2 linked regions of the Oryzias latipes genome follow. The protein of the gene in region 1 purifies or fractionates together with the protein of each later gene. This does not show direct contact. Links are inferred from orthologs where the notes say so. Each region holds a gene or a part of one and is shown on either strand. Other genes may lie near its edges.

Evidence for each region.
Region 2: the proteins of rictor (region 1) and mlst8 purify together in Homo sapiens (affinity purification with western blotting; 14 studies listed by BioGRID and IntAct, with this or other methods). This does not show direct contact. The link is inferred for Oryzias latipes from reciprocal best matches to the Homo sapiens genes RICTOR and MLST8.

What each region holds. Positions count from the first base shown.
Region 1 is NC_019867.2:18,765,222-18,770,099, reverse strand, and holds the start of rictor (rapamycin-insensitive companion of mTOR), read left to right. Parts: upstream 1-1,599; 5' UTR 1,600-1,617; coding exon 1,618-1,666; intron 1,667-1,791; coding exon 1,792-1,839; intron 1,840-4,101; coding exon 4,102-4,199; intron 4,200-4,878. UniProt on the Homo sapiens protein: Component of the mechanistic target of rapamycin complex 2 (mTORC2), which transduces signals from growth factors to pathways involved in proliferation, cytoskeletal organization, lipogenesis and anabolic output.
Region 2 is NC_019877.2:3,130,727-3,135,449, reverse strand, and holds the start of mlst8 (target of rapamycin complex subunit LST8), read left to right. Parts: upstream 1-1,578; 5' UTR 1,579-1,827; coding exon 1,828-1,956; intron 1,957-2,469; coding exon 2,470-2,521; intron 2,522-2,591; coding exon 2,592-2,754; intron 2,755-2,826; coding exon 2,827-2,902; intron 2,903-2,978; coding exon 2,979-3,131; intron 3,132-3,214; coding exon 3,215-3,339; intron 3,340-3,421; coding exon 3,422-3,585; intron 3,586-4,549; coding exon 4,550-4,668; 3' UTR 4,669-4,723. Other genes in the region: meiob (meiosis-specific with OB domain-containing protein), read left to right, coding at 162-306, 380-566, 659-745, 829-942.

The DNA of each region.
Region 1 (4,878 bases):
TGCAGTAAGGGAAAAACAGACTAGTGAAACTGCAAAAAAGTTCTTCAAAATGAGGTTTAAGTGAGAGGTGAAAGAAACCACCTATTAAAGCATTTGATGGATTATTTTGCGCTTTTACGCGGGTGACATTTATAAAAGTTGGAAGTGAAATGAAGACATATCTGTGAACATAATATAAATAGGTTTTGTGATAAACATTCAAGAGGAAGGATTAGTGATTTTTCAACACATTTCCAAAGTTGAATTGAATTGAAATGGTTCATTTCAAGCAATCAAATAGGAATAATACATAAAAACAATACAATCATCAGTTATAGATTCGTACCACAACTAATCAAACTTTGGATAATTAATCATATAAATAAATATTGCTTGAAAGGGAGTGGAAGGAAGCGAACTTATATAAACCCACCCCTGTTCTACCGTAACCATTTTATAACATGATTTATCATTATCCGGTTAAGTGGCCATCTTTTTTCTGTCTTGGTTTGTGTTCGTAAAGCATTAGCGCCATCTAGTGGTTAATGTGGTCATAGCAACCTGAGTTTTCTTGCAGCTTTTAAAAAAAAATGATAATATAACAACTGAAAATGTTGAAACATTCGTCTTTTACTTTTGGTACCTCTGTTTTTTAATGAACCAGTTATTCTGTAATTTACACGTCTTGAATTTTTTGCATGAAAGAAGTCTTTGGTATCACAACGTTAGTAAAAACAAACACGTTTTTTACTCAAGAGAGAAGCTAAAAATAATTCATGTATTGTTCATCGTTTAGAGTACACTTCTATGAACTCAAGTAACAAGCTCTGTGGGACCAGCTGTCATAAACTATACAGCGACAGACATCAAGACTCATGATCAAGACTCATGAGGTTGGAATGAAAAAGTAGGTCAAGGTCTTTCTGTAATTGCAAAATCATTTAAGCAGGCTAATGCAACAAAAATCCCTTTGGGTTTGAACAAAAATAGTCTCTGAGAAGATGAAAGAATTATGTTTTTGCTGATATGTGTGCAGAAAAAGGAGCTGCAGTGATGTCCAAATCCTCTAAGCAGGTCCATTATGTGCACTACTTGTGTTGTACTTATTATTGTTATTTATTCTTTGAATATTTCCTATTTGTAACAATAACTTTAACATAACACAACTTGCCTTAAATCAAGTTAGAACATATTATTTTTTGTTTTCAACTTAAATATTTCCCTAAAGTTAGGATAAAAACATACGTTTAAACCATATTACAAAACATTTTGCACAAATTATTCCTGTCACTAAATCCCAATCATACATGAAAACATGAACCATGACACAAACTCAAACAAAAAAACTAAGATTTGTTTTTATAAAAACAAATTTAGCAAATTGGTCATGCTGAAAAATATTAATAAATAAATATTACATTTGCAATTAAAACTCGAATACTGCTGCTAACTAAACTGTTTATTTCTGTCGTTCAGTCGCCAGGTCAGATTATTTTTTCATTGCCGTTGGAGGTTAAGGGATTAACTGGGATTCGCCTGATCCCAGATCTGTGATTTGCACCGCAGCGATTTGCGTTTGATGTCCGTGTTCTCGCGACATTCCGCGAAGTTTCCGGTGTTGTGTATGTTCCTGGAAACATGGCGGCCAGCTTCCGCGGCCGTCCTATCCGGAGTCTTCGGATGCGAGGTAAGCGTGAAAAACTCAGCTCATAATTTGTTGGAATGGCAGCGTATTGCAATAAGAGCACGTCTCCCACAAAACATAGCATTGAATTTGTCCTTCAGCGTTTCCGTTGCGTTTGTTTTTGTCAGGGCGGAATGACAGCGGGGAGGAGAACGTACCGCTGGATCTGAGTAGAGGTAAGCAGAGGCTCATCATTCTAAAAGCTATTATTGCTCAAAATGGATTATGGTTGACTTTATGCACAAAATATACGAACCTCTAAATGAACCACGAGATTGCCACGTGGATGCATTTTTAATTAAACGTTTTATTTGTTGTTGTTTTGTTCAAAAATCTTCCTTTGTGGCTATAAACAGGCGAGAGGGAGCTAACTAGCTAGCTGATTTAGCGTTAGCTGGCTGCCACAGCTAACCAGTCATGACGATGCGCTGTTGTTTTGGTAGGCGTGAGTGGGCTGCAGAGCCTGCTATTTAGCGAGACAGCCATTAGAGTTGCATTAATACACGAGGCTCCGCTGGCTGTCAGAAACCCTGAGCTTAAGCCGGTTTGCTGAGCAATGCACATACGGGCTTTTTTTTTTTTATTCACAGCTCAGCCGAGTTAAATTTGCTCATCTAGCAACAGCACTGTCTGCTTGTTTGTTTACACCAACCAGCGGCTGTTTTCTTTGTTTGGAACCTTTTGCGGCTGCTAGGCACACTTGACTCACGATAAAAGCACGATCAACGAGTTCTGATGGAAACATTTCGGTCCTAAATTAGGAAAACGATTACGAACATAGTTTGTGTTTTTTGTCAGCTTAGGTTTTTATATAAAACGTATCTTACTGGAACAAACTCAACCATTGATGGGGGGTATTCCAGAAAGTAGGTTATGCTATTTACCACGATAAGTTTGAGGCTAAGGAAGCGGATAGCCTCAGCTTTTGGTTCCAAAAACAGTGGTATGTTTCAGGGTATGTGAAGTTGCTATAGCAACTCATGCTCTGAACATAACCTGGTCTGGAGCAGGTTTAGTTGAAGGTTAGTTGGTTTCAGAGAGGTGAAGGAGCATGCAGTGTCCATTTGAAGATGATTTAGTGGATGAAGAAGCTCAGATAATACTTTTTCCACCATGAGAGGGTGATAAGACCACGTATGGATGTTGGAAAGATGAACTTTTTTACATTAATCTAACTTAATTATTTGCTTCAGTTAAGATACATTCTTTTTGTTACATGAGCTTAAAAAGAACACTAAGTTATCAGACAGTTATTTTACTTTAATTCAAATTAATTCAATTAAGTAGGTGTAACTTTGGTGCTGCTGTTAGATCGGCGCTGCAAGGAATTGTGGGATACCATTCCCTTTGCCTGTCTGGACGGATTTGGGTTTAAGTGTGGGTTTTTGACCAAATGTGTTTAGTTGTTTATCTGTTTTACTGTGTATTTCCGAGTTATTTGTCCTGTTGTGTTTAATTCTTTCTGCACCATGAGTGAGAGGGAGGGAGAGAATGATGAGGTTATTTAGCACCCCTACTGCTCAGTGTTGTAATGTCAAAGTCAGAGAAAGGATAAATGACTTTAAGTTTTGTGTTGTGAATCTATATTGTTTCATTCATTTTAATGTTATAAAAATGAGAATATCTACAGGCTCAAATGTAGACATATGAGAGTTCAAGAAATACAATAAATTAAGATGGAAAGACATTTAATTGAATTGGAGTAATATGACATTTAGTTAGAAAAATATGTAAATTTGAGATTTCAGCCAGAGTTCAGGGTTAAAGTCAGGGTAGTTTAAACATGCTTCCTGGATTACCCCCCAGGAACGTTTATAATGCAATAACACCACTGTTTCTTAAACGATTGATCGATTTTTGCTTCACGGATAAGAAGCTAAAGTTTAAGGTATATTTATACACCAGTGCTTGTTTGCCTTTTTGCTTTTGATACTTTTATCTTAGCATCATATAGGAAATCTTCTTAAATGTCAACCTCAGTTAAACCATTTTCGTGGTATTCTATTGTTTTGTTTTGTAGCTGTACGGATTTTTCCCCCTTTGTATTTGAAGTTCTAAATCTTGTTAAAATATCAGTTTTTTTTATGGAGAGATAATATAAGACAATTTAAAACATAATCTGGGATTAGGATGGTCTATTTACGTGTTTGTGAAATGGATTTCTTCATTGATTGGTATATCTGACATTAGTTTCTACAGATATTAGATGTCTACATATGAAATAACCTCGCAAGTGTTTTAATATTTTATCAAATAATTAACATTAGATGAATTGTTGGAAAGCAAAGTCTAACTTGCTCGACTTTGCTTTTTGCTATAAAGGTCTAGTTTTGACTGCATAAACGTAAAACTAGTAAACTAATTGATAGCCCTTTCCTTTTCTCCTGTAACCACAGAGCTATTTTGTCCACTGAAATGGTCTTTTTGTTTCCCTCTAGAACCATCAGAAAACTTCCGGGAAATTCTTCAAAATGTGGCTAAACCACACGGAGTTAGCAACATGCGAAAACTGGGCCACCTGAACAACTTCATAAAGGTAAGAATGCTGCAGCATTTTTTTGCTCCACATGCAGCTTTTTAAGGAAGATGACTGTAGATATATTGAATGACTGATCAACTACTCTTCCTCTGAAATGTAGCTGCTGACCTGCTGAGGTTTATACCACAGTTTAGATTAAAAAAAAAAAAAAGCTCTGGGGATAGAAATGCATCATAAGCTTCTATTCAACTAGAATAACCTGCTGGCTATAAAACTAAAATAATATATATATTTTTTTACTGTAAACCCTAACTTGTTTCTCAATTTGTTTTCCTATTCCTCAGTATGTTTGGATTATGTTTAATATTTGTTGCAAAAGTGAAGATTCTCCTAAACTTATCTGACTCCGGTGGCAAAATTGTTAAAGAGATGGAGACAGTTTTAGGTCCATCTAAATTGGAACAAGATCAGGGATTTCAGAGCACCTCTGAAGAGACTTTAGAAAGGCTCAGACCAACCTTTAATAGCACAATGTTTTAACAAGCAGTTGAGTTTCACCTCCATCTATCCCCGCAAAAAAAGTATATATCACCTTTGACACACTAAAAAACGATTTTTGCAGCTAATTTCCTGCCCGGAGGTAAGAAGACTTGATCTCTGAAGCACTGCCTTTCGCTCCTTGTGGGCGTCGCCCATTTCAGGACGTCAACCTATAGCTGGCCTCGGCGGCGTATCT
Region 2 (4,723 bases), on another chromosome or scaffold:
GCTTTATTATTAAATATAATACATTTGAATAATTATTAAGAGGATCCGTAAACCAAAAGGTAAATCATTCAGACTCCATACCCGGTTGTTGATAAGAGTTGGTGTTTGTTTGTTTTTTGTGGCTTCATTTTTGCGTGTTTGTGTTTGTTTTCTGCCTGCAGTGGACTCCATCACTGACGTTTACACCGTCAACCAGCTGAAGTTGAAGGCCAAGGAGCAACCGGAGACTTTCTTCGGCCTGACTTACAGCTTCATCTCCAAGCTGGACCTGGACTCCTCTGCCTCTAAAGTCATCAAGACCCGCTGGTACGATCGCACCAAAGTCACGGCCTCCTTCTTTCCTTCCATCTGTCCGTGCTTCGATTTGGGCTTTTTTCAGCTCTAAATGTAGGTTCCTGCTGACGGCGGACATGCAGAGCTGCGGTAACCAGCTGTGTCCGGGCGGGGAGCAGCCGTTCTCAGGCACCACAGGCTTCGACCTGCTGGTGGACCTGACCGACCACACCGGCACGCTGCAGGCCTGCAGCCTCCGGGGCGCCACGGCGGAGCAGACGCTCGGCTGCTCGGTCGGTAACTCCTCAGAGGCTGAGGGGGGGGGTCAGCTCCAAACTGCTGAGATCCACAGACTTCTCTTAAATATGCTGCTGCCTGCTTCCAGACGGACGAGTTCATCCGTCTGACCGATGATCAGCGCACCGCTCTCAAGTGGAAGTTTCTTCTGGAAAGATGCAAAATATACCTGAAGGTATTCCAGCCTTCAAAAGGCATGTTTTTTTTTTTTTTGTCTTTGTGATGTGTTTTTATTGTTCATGAGATCGTCTGCCGCAGATCCTTCCCTCTGCGAGAACGAAAAGCGGCATCAGGGGGGTGATCCTGGCCTGCTCTCCGGCCGACCCAGGAGAGGTGAAGCAGCATATGTCGGCTGTTCTGCAGCAGCTTTGAACCAGCAATGCGAAGTCTGTTCTATTTACATTTGTTCTGCGCTAATTACAATGTAAACAGATGCTTCAACTGTTATTTATTTATTTATTCTTATTTATTTAACTTATTGATATAAATTGATTTATTTAAAAAAAGGCGTTAAATTGTTCCTGTTTAATAAAGTTGTGTTTTGAAAAAAAATTCTGATTTATTATCACAAAATACAATTAAAAAAGAAAAAAAAAACAAAAGCAACTGTTATAAAAAAAAGTATATTTAAAATAAAAAGAATGATGTAGATTTTATGTAGCGACAATAAATGCTTTATTTAAAGCAATTTTAACCATAAAAAAAGAAAAATATGTATTAAAATTTTGAATTCATAAAAATGATTAAAAAGAAATAAAACAATATGTTTAAATATTTTTTGACATATTACTCTGAATCATAAGGAGACATATTTGCACATTTATTGTAATGATTGCCAAATAAAAGTTGATTAATTACCTGAAAGAGTGTGGGAAAAGGCGATTTTATGATTCTACCTCTATTATGATTTATTTTTTATTATTATTATTTTACATCGTTGCATTCCTGCATTTAAACAATTTTTTTTTCAAAGCGGAACGTTTGACACACTTCTGTGTTTATCGGGGACGCGTTAGTCAGACGTACCGCAGTCGCGAATGATGGCTTCAGGAAATCTGTAAAGCGAATTCTTATCAGATTTTTAGATGTTTTCTCACATTCAGATATTTTTAAAACGGCTTTTCTTTAAAAGAGTTAACTTCAAAAAGCTTGAGCTGACGTCGTTGGCCGATCGTTTGGACCGAGTTCGTCAGATGTAACTAAGTGGACTGACGGGTTCTGGTGTTGTTTGTAACCGTGACACACTAGCGGAGAAGCATGAATGTCAACCAGGGCACGGTGGGCAGCGACCCGGTTATCCTGGCCACGGCTGGATACGATCACACAGTCCGGTTCTGGCAGGCCCACAGCGGGATCTGTACCCGGACGGTGCAGCATCAGGACTCGGTATCCTTTCCCTGGTTAGAACGGTTCGGTGAGAGCTCTCTGTTTACATGCGCTACCGCTGGCTTACAGCCGCTCACACCCCAACCTGACGAAATGGCCCCCAATTTCGGAGCTTTACTGAATTGAAAAACAAAATTATGACTTTAGTCTCGTAAAATTTTACATTTTTATTGTTGTTTATACTTTTACAAATTTATTAGTGTAATTTTTTTTTACTTTTTAATAATAATTTTACTACGGAACGGTATTATGTTAAATAAAAATAAAATACAGGTGACCTTTGCTCTAACTTGTTTGACATAATCCGTTTTTGTTTTGTTTTTGTTTGATTCACCACACACACTAAAAATAAAACCATCAACTGTTAATTAAATGCAATAGGCTTAATATTTTACAGCATTATTCTCATACATAATATGTATTTTGTTGTAGAAAAATGCTATAAAAGGCATATATATGCTAAATACCTCAAAAACGCGACTTTCGGAGTGGGCCTTTAACTCGTCATTTCAGCAAGTGAATTCCCTTGAAGTGACCCCGGACAGAAGCATGATCGCCGCCGCAGGTCAGTCCAAACTCTCCCATTTGAAGGCTGCGCGGCGTTTCACTGCGCGTTCCTCCTCTTCCTCCTGCAGGGTATCAGCACATCCGCATGTACGACCTGAACTCCAACAACCCAAACCCCGTCATCAACTACGACGGAGTCAGCAAGAACATCACCTCCGTGGGCTTCCATGAGGACGGACGCTGGATGTACACCGGAGGAGAGGACTGCATGGCTCGCATATGGGACCTAAGGTACGGCGGTTCACCTCCACCGCACACCCCGGCAGAAATCCACTCTGCTGTTATCAACCCTCCTCCTTTCAGGTCAAGAAACCTGCAGTGTCAGAGGATCTTCCAAGTAAACGCTCCCATCAACTGTGTGTGTCTTCATCCCAATCAGGTATCCTCAAAGCTGCACAGGTGTTTGATGTGGATTTATCTGTAGATTTGTCAGCGTTTTGTGATTTTTCTTTTAGGCGGAGCTGATTGTTGGGGATCAGAGTGGCGTGATTCACATCTGGGACCTGAAAACGGACCACAACGAACAGCTGATTCCAGAGCCAGAAGTCTCGGTGAACTCTGTCCACATCGACCCCGATGCCAGCTACATGGCAGCCGTCAACAGCTCGGTGCGTCCCCAAACTGAACATGGGACGCAAAAACTGGGGTTGGAGAGAAACTAGAGTGAGGTTCCTGTTCCCCCCCCCAACAGGGAAACTGTTACGTGTGGAACCTGGCTGGAGGGATGGGAGACGAAGTGACGCAGCTCATTCCAAAGACGAAGATCCCGGCGCACAAACGATACTCGCTGCGCTGCAAGTTCAGCCCCGACTCCACGTGAGGCTTTTTGTTGTTTCTGCCTGACGTGAGGCCAAACAGAAAAAAAACCTCATTGATGTTTCTCCTTGAATGTCTCCAGACTACTGGCCACCTGCTCAGCGGATCAGACCTGCAAGATCTGGAGGACGTCCAACTTCTCCCTGATGACGGAGCTGAGCATCAAAAGCAACAACCCCGGGGAGACGTCCCGAGGCTGGATGTGGGACTGCGCCTTCTCCGGAGACTCGCAGTACATCGTTACAGGTGCGTACCTTCACCTTTGGGTCTGTCCCCTTGTCCCGCTGAGTTTTTAAAGTTAAAAATGGCATGTTTTAGCAAACTTTAATATAAAATTAAAGCCGTAAACGGCGTTGCATGACCTGCAGAGGACACTGCCCCCTTTTGAACCGCCTTCACCCTCCCCTTCTGCCAGTCTGGTCACAAATTCATGAAAGAGAACACTTTTATTCAAAAGTGCGGCTTTTCTGATGGTTTTATCTCCATGGCAACCATTTCAGTTTTTGGTCACCGCGGGGTGACGAACAGGTTTCGGTCATTTTTAGAAGAATCTGCAAAAGTAGATTTTTGGATTTCCTTAGCAACGTAGGATTTTTGTTAACCACACCCACATTTCTTATATGTTCATATTGTTTGTCATATCGTTTGGTTCAGCTTGAGCAGAGGTGCGCTCCATTTTCTCAATATTCCGGTAAAAAATGCGCCCACAACAGGAAATCGCCACTTTTGTGAACTCGCCGTTCAAAATCCACAAACTTTATTTCCAAAATTCCAATTAGTTTCCCAAGGACACCGCTCCAGGAGTCAGGAGGCGATTCTTAGGAGGAGTTTAAATTTGTAGCTGGGACTAAACGGGATAAATATGTATTTTTTTACAAAATTCAAGATGGCAGCTTCTTCCCGAGGTCAAAGGTCAATGAAACTTCAGCTCTTGTTGAAGACTTTTGAATTGTAAATTGTAGAATAAATTGTAGACGAATGTGAAAATCACCAAACGTCACTCTCTGCCACACAGTGACCACCAAGCCGTGGCACCTGTGGCCATCCCATAATAATTAAAAAAACTTCCTTCCAATCTGGTCGTCGTAGTCCAGGATTATTGCGGGGCGGAGTAATAATCCCGGTTTTTATCATTATCCAGCTGTTTCTTTAATGTTAGGAATCAGTTGAAGCAGAAAAATGGAGGTAAAGTCGCGTTTTTGTTCCGCAGCGTCTTCAGACAATCTCGCTCGTCTGTGGTGCGTCGAGACCGGCGAAATCAAGAGGGAGTACAGCGGCCACCAGAAGGCCGTGGTGTGTCTGGCCTTCAACGACAGCGTGCTCGGCTGAAGAGGACGACGGACGCCGTCAGCCGGAGCTGAACCCGCTGCTCAGTTTTGTCCAA